Elephas maximus indicus: one gene and its partner. The protein of the gene in region 1 interacts with the protein of each later gene in a biochemical or structural test. Links are inferred from orthologs where the notes say so. Each region holds a gene or a part of one and is shown in the gene's direction. Other genes may lie near its edges. The genes, in order: GLG1 and SELE.

Region 1 (3,915 bases):
TAATTCTGGTCCCAGGCTCTCTACTAGCTGGCAGAAATTTAACCTCTCTGCAGAGCTGTTAACATCACTGCCCCTTTCCTGTTAAATTAGAAACCAGTCCAACCAAGGCTGAAATGACAATGGATATGAAGACACTCTGGGAAGATGTCATCTCTCCTAGGAAGACTAGTCACTAGTGTGTGGTGAAAAGAACCAAACTTGCCGGGAGGTGCTGCTGAAAAGATGCTGCATGCAGAACAGCAGGAACAGTTAGGGACATGCAGACTTAACCAGAGTCCCTAAACAAGCATTTTGCTATTTTCGTCTTTTAAACATGAGTTTAACTTCTAGCTTAGAATCAGGACTTTGATGCACAGTTTCACAGTTTATTAATAATACTGGCTATAACTTTTTTAGGTCCCTGTGGGTATTGTAAGCTAAGGGTTGCTAGGATTTGGAATCCACTAGATGGCAATGGGTTAACAGGTATTGTAAACCCTGGTGGCACAGTGGTTAAAGGACTGGGCTGCTAAGCAGAAAGTTGGCAGTTCAAACCCACCAGCTGTTTGTTGGAAAAGGATGTGGCAGTCTGCTTCCATAAAGATTATAGCCTGGGAAACCCTATGGTGCAGTTCTCTGCCCTATTGGGTCACTGAGTGGGAATTGACCCTACAGCGCTTTTTTTAAAATTGTGGGCCAGGGTCTCTAGGTGGTGCAAAAGGGTTTGTGCTCTATTGCTAACCTAAAGGTTGGTGATTCTAACCCACGCAGTGCTATGCAGAAGAAAAGGCCTGGTGATCTGCTTCATTAAGATCACAGCCAGAAAACCCTGTGGAACAGTTCTACTCTTTAACACATGGCAGTCGCCATGAGTCGGAATTGACTTGAAGACAACATTCTGGGTCACCACTTTTCTTATTTCCATACTTCGCAATTACATGTTAAATAGAGCTTCTCCTCGTCTTTTTTCAGATAAGAAAATGAAGTTCAGAGAAGTTAAAAAGACTTGTCTGGTCTGCCGAAACTCAAGGATTATAACCCAGGTCTTTTGTGGCTCCGGAATTTGTGCTTTTTTATTCAGTACTGTTTTGCTCTTTGGGTAAGAAAGGCTTTTGAAGCAGATGGAAGGGAAGGAGAGATGCAAGAGAGGCTCTTCGTTTCTAGAATACTGGTTGTGTAAAGTTCACCTCTACATACATAAAGTTACCTTTTTTCCCCCAAAAAATCATTGAACCGGCTACATATTTCACCGGCCATCTTGGTTGTGGCAACCCCAATTTCTTTTTATTTTTCTGTGATGACAACCAACGGAATTAGGCAAAGCTGCCCTACCCAGGCTTTTTACGGAGCGCCAGCAACTCCCCGAGTAAAGAGCGCCTTTGGAGGCCCGCGGAAGTCCAGGGCGTGGGCTTCTGGAGCCTAGCCACCTCCCTCGCTGTGCTCCCATCCCACAGGTCGGCGCCGGCCTGGGCGGGGCTTTGTGGGCTACGCCGGCCCACGCCCCGACGCCCCGCCCACTATTTAAATACGCGGCGCCGGCGTGTGCGTCGAGATCGCCGCGGATCCAAGATGGCGGCGTGTGGACGTGTACGGAGGATGTTCGGCTTGTCGGCGGCGCTGCAGCTGCTGCTGATCGCCGCGGCCGGGGCCCAGAAAGTCCAGGGCCAGGGCGGCCACGGCCAGGGCCAGGGCCCGGGGGCCAACTTTGTGTCCTTCGTAGGGCAGGGTGGAGGCGCCGTGTCGGCGGTTCAGCAGCTGCCTCAGTCACCTCAGCTCCAGCAGCCTCAGCAGCAGCAACCGCCTCAGCCGCCGCAGCCGGCGTTCCCGGCGGGTGGGCCTTCGGCCCGGCGCGGAGGAGCGGGGGCTGGCGGGGGCTGGAAGCTGGCAGAGGAAGAGTCCTGCAGGGAGGACGTGACCCGTGTGTGCCCCAAGCACACCTGGAGCAACAACCTGGCGGTGCTGGAGTGCCTGCAGGATGTGAGGGAGGTGAGGAGGCGGGACGGGACCGGGAGGGCCTGGCCTGGTGCAGGCCCGAGGGTGTCGCCGGCCTTGGAAGGCGCTGACGCTGGTCTGCTGCTGCTTCGCTTCCTCCTTGCCGCGCTCGATCCTTTCCTCCCTGCCTCTCACTCCCTGGCGCATTTGGGCAAGAGGATCCCACCCCACCCCTCCGTTCCTTGGCTCCTTTTTCCCTTCCTGGTGCCGGGGTCTGGAACGTAGATCCCAACTCGCCTCGATCGGCGAAGGCCCAGAGCGTGTTTGTTTGCTCCTGTCTTTTGTGTGATGCTCAGTGCAGAGTGGCTCTTTGCCGAAGACCGGCTTAGGATTTTGCCATTCCGTTTAGACTTGGGCAATTCGCAGCAATACGTTTATACCTGAAAAATGGTTGGCGTACTTAAACTGTTAAAGAATGATCGGCTGCTTGTTGGCAGTGGATAAGGTTTTTTAGGTAACTTCGGTTCTGTTCTGATGTGTGTTGTAGTCAGCAGGAGGATTTACTGTCTTTACCCCATTCTTCACCCCGTGTTTATTTCTCTGGTGCTGAAACTAATGTATGCCTTTTGTGCTTCACTTCTTTTGGTCAGCTTGTAGTGAATCTATGTTTAAGCTATTACGCCAAGTGACTTGGAACCCTAAAGCGTGAAAGGTTGGGGCAGCATTTGAAGCTGTAATACTACACAGTATTTGTGATTGGGCCTTGGGGGCTTGCCTTTCTGACGTCTGAATATGATTTTAACGGTAACTCTTAATGAGATCTAGATTTGCTATTGTTTGATGTGATTCGGCTTAGTGACATTTGAAATTATTTTTCTAGATTTATTGCTACAGACATAAGCATGTGTTTGACAGTTCTCAAAACTGGGGAGCAGGTCTGATAGGGATACTTTTTCAAAAGATGATGTTGCTAGTTGCCTGTGAGTGGATTCAGACTAGTGGTGACCCACCCCACGTGTGCAGCGTAGAACTGCTCTATATGGTTTTCAAGGCTGTAACATTTTGAGAAGCAGATTACCAGGCCTTACTTCTGAGGCATCTCTGGGGGAATTTGAACCGCAAGCCTTTCTGCTAGTAGTCCGGTGCTTAAACATACATTATTAGCCCCAGAGATTGACAAATAGAATAAAGCTGTTGCTTGGTACGGTTTCATTTAGAAAATTGTGTCACCAGAATTGTCCAAGGTATTCGAGGCCACAGGAAGACCACAGGTTTGTAGAAAATTGCTACTCTTGGCAGTTTCGTCCACTTCATCCCATTGTGAGAGTTGCTGTATGCAGAATAATTCAAAAATAATTCAGAAAAGACACAGATAATCAGGAGACAGAGAGGGAGGAAGTTTCCAGAACCACTAGAAATAGGGGCCTTAGATGACTTCTCATCTACAGCTCAAAGACTAAAAGGCTAATCCCTTGCCATTCTTTATACTTGAGTTGCTCTTCTAGAAGCTACAAGATTCTTAACTCTACCAGGCTTTTTGGAATTTTCTGTTTGGTCTTTGAGGATACAGAAGTTGCTTCCTTAACGTAGGGTAATAATATTGGTGACCAAAGGCCTCAGTGGCTTCTAGAAGAAACAGGACATTATTAGAGAAAGTGCCAAAATGTGGCCCATTCAAGGAATGCATGTCCCTTCCTTTGAGCACATTAGGGACGTTGGAAACATCCAGCAGGCTTCCACAGTGTTACATGTGGAAGTGAGTAGCCGTATACATTATCTGTAAATAACTTAGATTTGACTAATTTTGGAGCCTGTTTAATTTATTGGGTACTTTAGTGTTCTTTTTTTTTTTTTTTTAAAGAACCTGGTCTGGAAATTTAGTCCTAGCTCTGCCATTGATTGTAAAATTCCCAGCAAGGACATCATTTCAGTAACAGCATTTTTCTTCCTTTATGGGGATGATATAGCAACTCGTTAACGGTAGGTACTAGGGTAAAAAACCCA
Region 2 (3,915 bases), on another chromosome or scaffold:
CACAACTACGTGGTGCCTGGCTACCACCACCAACTGCTCTGACAAGGATCATAACAGAGGGTCCTGGGACAGAGCTGGAGAAAGACGTAGAACAAAATTCTAACTCACAAAAAAAGACCAGATTTACTGGTCTGACAGAGACTGGAGAAACCCTGAGCATATGGCCCCCAGACACCCTTTTAGCTCAGTAAAGAAGTCATTCTCGAGGTTTACCCTTCAGTCAAAGATTAGACAGGCTCATAAAACAAAATGAGACAAAATGGGCACACCAGCCCAGGGGCAAGGATGAGAGGGCAGGAGGGGACAGGAAAGCTGGTAATGCGGAACTCAAGATCAAGAAGGGGAGAGTGTTAACATGTTGTGGGGTTGGCAACCGATGTCGCAAAACAATATGTGCATTATTTGTTTAACGAGAAGATAGTTTGCTCTGAAAACCTTTATCTAAAGTACAATAAAAAAAGTTTGTGTCAATTAAATATGAGTATATACAGTTTTTCTTATTTCTTTCTTCACTGAACAAATCAGGGCCATTTTCCAGACAAGAACATCTAAGACTCTTTCCCATTAAAAAAAAATTTTAAGGCAGCATTATGTCAAGCGTTGAAGTGGAAGATACAATTTTTAGTAATTTAGCCACAGCAGGTGCACAGAACCTGAGGACCAGTGCACAGCTGGTGATGCGTATCTCTGGGGCACCGCACGGTAAAATGAGTTGAGTTGGCATGTGAGAATGAAAAAGTGAGTGGAGATGTGTTATTGACAGCTACTGATAAAAAAATTGAGGGTAGCATTCCACGGACAACAAAACTATTCTTAGTTTGCTTACGTTTCAAAATTCTTATTACTACCATGATAACATGAGAGATACTGCCAATAATCAATGGTTTAAACTTTTAAAAAACCCACATTTTATGTTATCAGAATGAAAAATCGTAATTCATGTCATAGTAACAGAATTGCATGTAAAGTATAAAGGAACGGACAAAGGAGAATTAGTTTGAGCGGCACAGTTTCTGACATCATTGTAATTTTTAGCCTTATGGATATTCCCGGGAAACTTTTTGGATGCTGTTGGGGAATTCCTCCTTGCTCAATTTGGACATATCCTCCTATTATGCACAGGAAGCCAGCACTCGTATAAAGCAACGCCAGCAGGGGCAGGGCTCAGCTGTTCTTGGCTGCCTTCACGTCAGGAGTGCCGGTGTGACACAGCACAGAGGATTCGACACCTGTCCAACTGCTTCGGAAAGCGTAAGTGCAGAAGTCTTCACAGGGGCAGACTTGGGCCGTGAAACAGGTTAGCAATGTGATCAGGCATGTAAAGGCATTCCAATAAAAGGTCTTCTGCAAGCTCTTATTCTACTGACTAGTTACAAACCTGGCCTTTCTCTTTCACCTAAATGACGAAAAATCAGAAATGTTATTTGTTCATTTGAGTAAACGTCTTTGATGTGCACAAAGATTGTGGCACTGGAATTCTTGACTTAAAATCTGATAATGCTGCCATAAAGCCATAATTGTAAAATGACATGAGTAACTGGCTACCCAGAGTTTCATTCCATAATTAATTCTGTACTTTTTCCTCTCCAGAGAAGTATTTTTCGTCTAACCCCTTGAGAAAAACAACTCTGGAGGTCATGATTGCTGGACACTTCCTATCTGCTCTCTCTTTTGGTAAGTCAGTGTTGTCAGTTAGGCTAGAGTTTCTCAACCTTGACGTACTTTGTTATGGAATGCTATCTTGTGAGTTGTGGGATGTTTGGCACCATCCCTGACCTTTAGGTCCAATGTATTATGCCCTAGGCTAGGAGCAATTGGAGTCCCTGTGTGGTGGAAACACTTAAGCGCTAGACTACTAGCTGAAACGTTGGTGGCTCCAAGCCATCCAAAAGTGCCTCGGAAGACAGGACTGGTGATCTGTTTCTGAAAGGTCACAGCCTTGAAAACCCTACGGAGCAGCTCAGCTCTGCACACATGGGGTCGCCATGATTCTGAATCACCTCTATGGCAACTAACAGGGGCAATTTACCTCTCATTGTCTTACCTTCCCCAGGTGCAAAGTGTTGATCATAAATTGCCCATTTTCCTGAGGCACCGTGAGGATTCAGTAGGTGGCCGAGTACAGTGCTTCAGGCAGTGTTCGGCGGTACATATTACACACTCAGCCAAGCCTCGTTATTCTATTAGTCTACTGTAAAGTGGGTAGGCTAGTAGGTTATGGCGGAGGAGTTCAGGAGGGACTATCACAGAGGGGGCTCACAATAAATGCCGTTTTTCCACACACACTTTCTTAATTCTGAAAAGCGAACGAAGGCCACTGTGCTCAAGCATATATGCCATTGGTTCCTGGGGAGAAAAACGCACCACAATTAAGAAAACAAAGAGCTCAGTTGATGGAGTCGAATCGCAGCAAGACTAACCTCTAGCATTTCTTTTGTGTCTCCCCCTAGCGTTCCTCCTGGTTCGAGACAGCGGGGCCTGGACCTACCATACCTCCGTGCAAACCATGACGTACGATGAGGCAAGGGAGTACTGTCAGCAATACACAGATCTAGTGGCGATTCAAAACAAAGAAGAGATCAAGTACTTGAACTCCATATTAAGCCACTCACCAAGTTACTACTGGATTGGAATCAGAAAGGTCAATGGTGTGTGGACTTGGGTAGGGACCCAGAAGCCTCTGACCCCAGAAGCTGAGAACTGGGCTCCCGGAGAACCGAACAATAAGCAAAACGACGAGGACTGCGTGGAGATCTACATCAAAAGAGGGAAGGATGAGGGCATGTGGAACGATGAGAGCTGTAACAAAAAGAAGCTGGCCCTGTGCTACACAGGTAGGGAGTTTGGGGCTGCAGAGAGACTAGTTTCCAGGGTGAATGTCTTGACAAATCCTTTACAACAGGCAAAAACCAATCTCTATTGTGGCTACTTTATGTTCTAAAATATACAGCTTTAAAAAGTTCTGTTTAATGAGTAAAGTATCTCTTTTTGCTCCTTTGTATAAATTTAGCCAAGACTGTGTGTGTGTGTGTGTGTGTGTGTGTGTGTGTGTACTTGGGCAGTGCGCATGGTTAACTCACTCTGCTAAGCCAAATGTTCAGTCCTCCCAGAGACTCTCCAAAGAAAGGCTTGGTGAGTGACTTCCCAAAATCAACCATTGAAAACCCTATGGAGCACAGTTCTACTCTGACGCACATGGGGATCCCATGAGCCGGAATCCACCCATCAAGTGGCTTTTACATACGCAGAGAGTGTGTACACACATGATACATATCTTAGTAACTTCTTCACCTGCCGGAGTGGAACTGTACCCAATATCTGTCAGAATGTGAATTTCGTATGCTAGGTGTTAGCTGCAGCTAACTCTGGAGTGCCACATGTTAACATTCGGGTTTAAAACAGATGAACCTAAGACTCAGATGTGGCGTTTTGTTAAGCACTTTAAATGAAAATCGTTGGCACTGTCTCATCGAGTTCATCTGTACTGCACATTGTTGATGCTAAGCTCACATGCACCTCCTGTCGGCATAAGCCTGGCCCTCATCAGAACTGTTTCCCGCAGCTGCCTGCTCCAACATGTCCTGCAGTGGTCACGGAGAATGTGTGGAGACCATCAATAACTACACTTGCGAGTGTGACCCCGGCTTCAGTGGACTCAACTGTGAGCAAGGTAAATCATGGTCTCACCTCTCACCTCTCCCTTCACGTCTCAGCTGGCTTTGGAGTCAGATCGACATGTCTTCCCTTCCCTGGGGCAGTGTAAAATGGTGGTGAAAAGCAGAGGCTATGGAGTCGCAATTCCTGGGTTCAAATCCCAGGTTCACCACTTAGTACCTTGACAAGGCCCTAAAAGTCCCTGGGCCCCCGCTTTCTCGGTTTTAAAATAAAGATGATGATCAGACCAACTTCATAGGC

What was found.
Region 2: the proteins of GLG1 (region 1) and SELE form a complex in vitro, tested with the Homo sapiens proteins (2 studies listed by BioGRID and IntAct). The link is inferred for Elephas maximus indicus from reciprocal best matches to the Homo sapiens genes GLG1 and SELE.

What each region holds. Positions count from the first base shown.
Region 1 is NC_064839.1:40,477,506-40,481,420, reverse strand, and holds the start of GLG1 (Golgi apparatus protein 1), read left to right. Parts: upstream 1-1,518; 5' UTR 1,519-1,548; coding exon 1,549-1,965; intron 1,966-3,915. UniProt on the Homo sapiens protein: Binds fibroblast growth factor and E-selectin (cell-adhesion lectin on endothelial cells mediating the binding of neutrophils).
Region 2 is NC_064821.1:214,286,662-214,290,576, forward strand, and holds the start of SELE (E-selectin), read left to right. Parts: upstream 1-1,149; 5' UTR 1,150-1,251; intron 1,252-1,590; 5' UTR 1,591-1,637; coding exon 1,638-1,674; intron 1,675-2,450; coding exon 2,451-2,834; intron 2,835-3,562; coding exon 3,563-3,670; intron 3,671-3,915. UniProt on the Homo sapiens protein: Cell-surface glycoprotein having a role in immunoadhesion. Mediates in the adhesion of blood neutrophils in cytokine-activated endothelium through interaction with SELPLG/PSGL1. May have a role in capillary morphogenesis.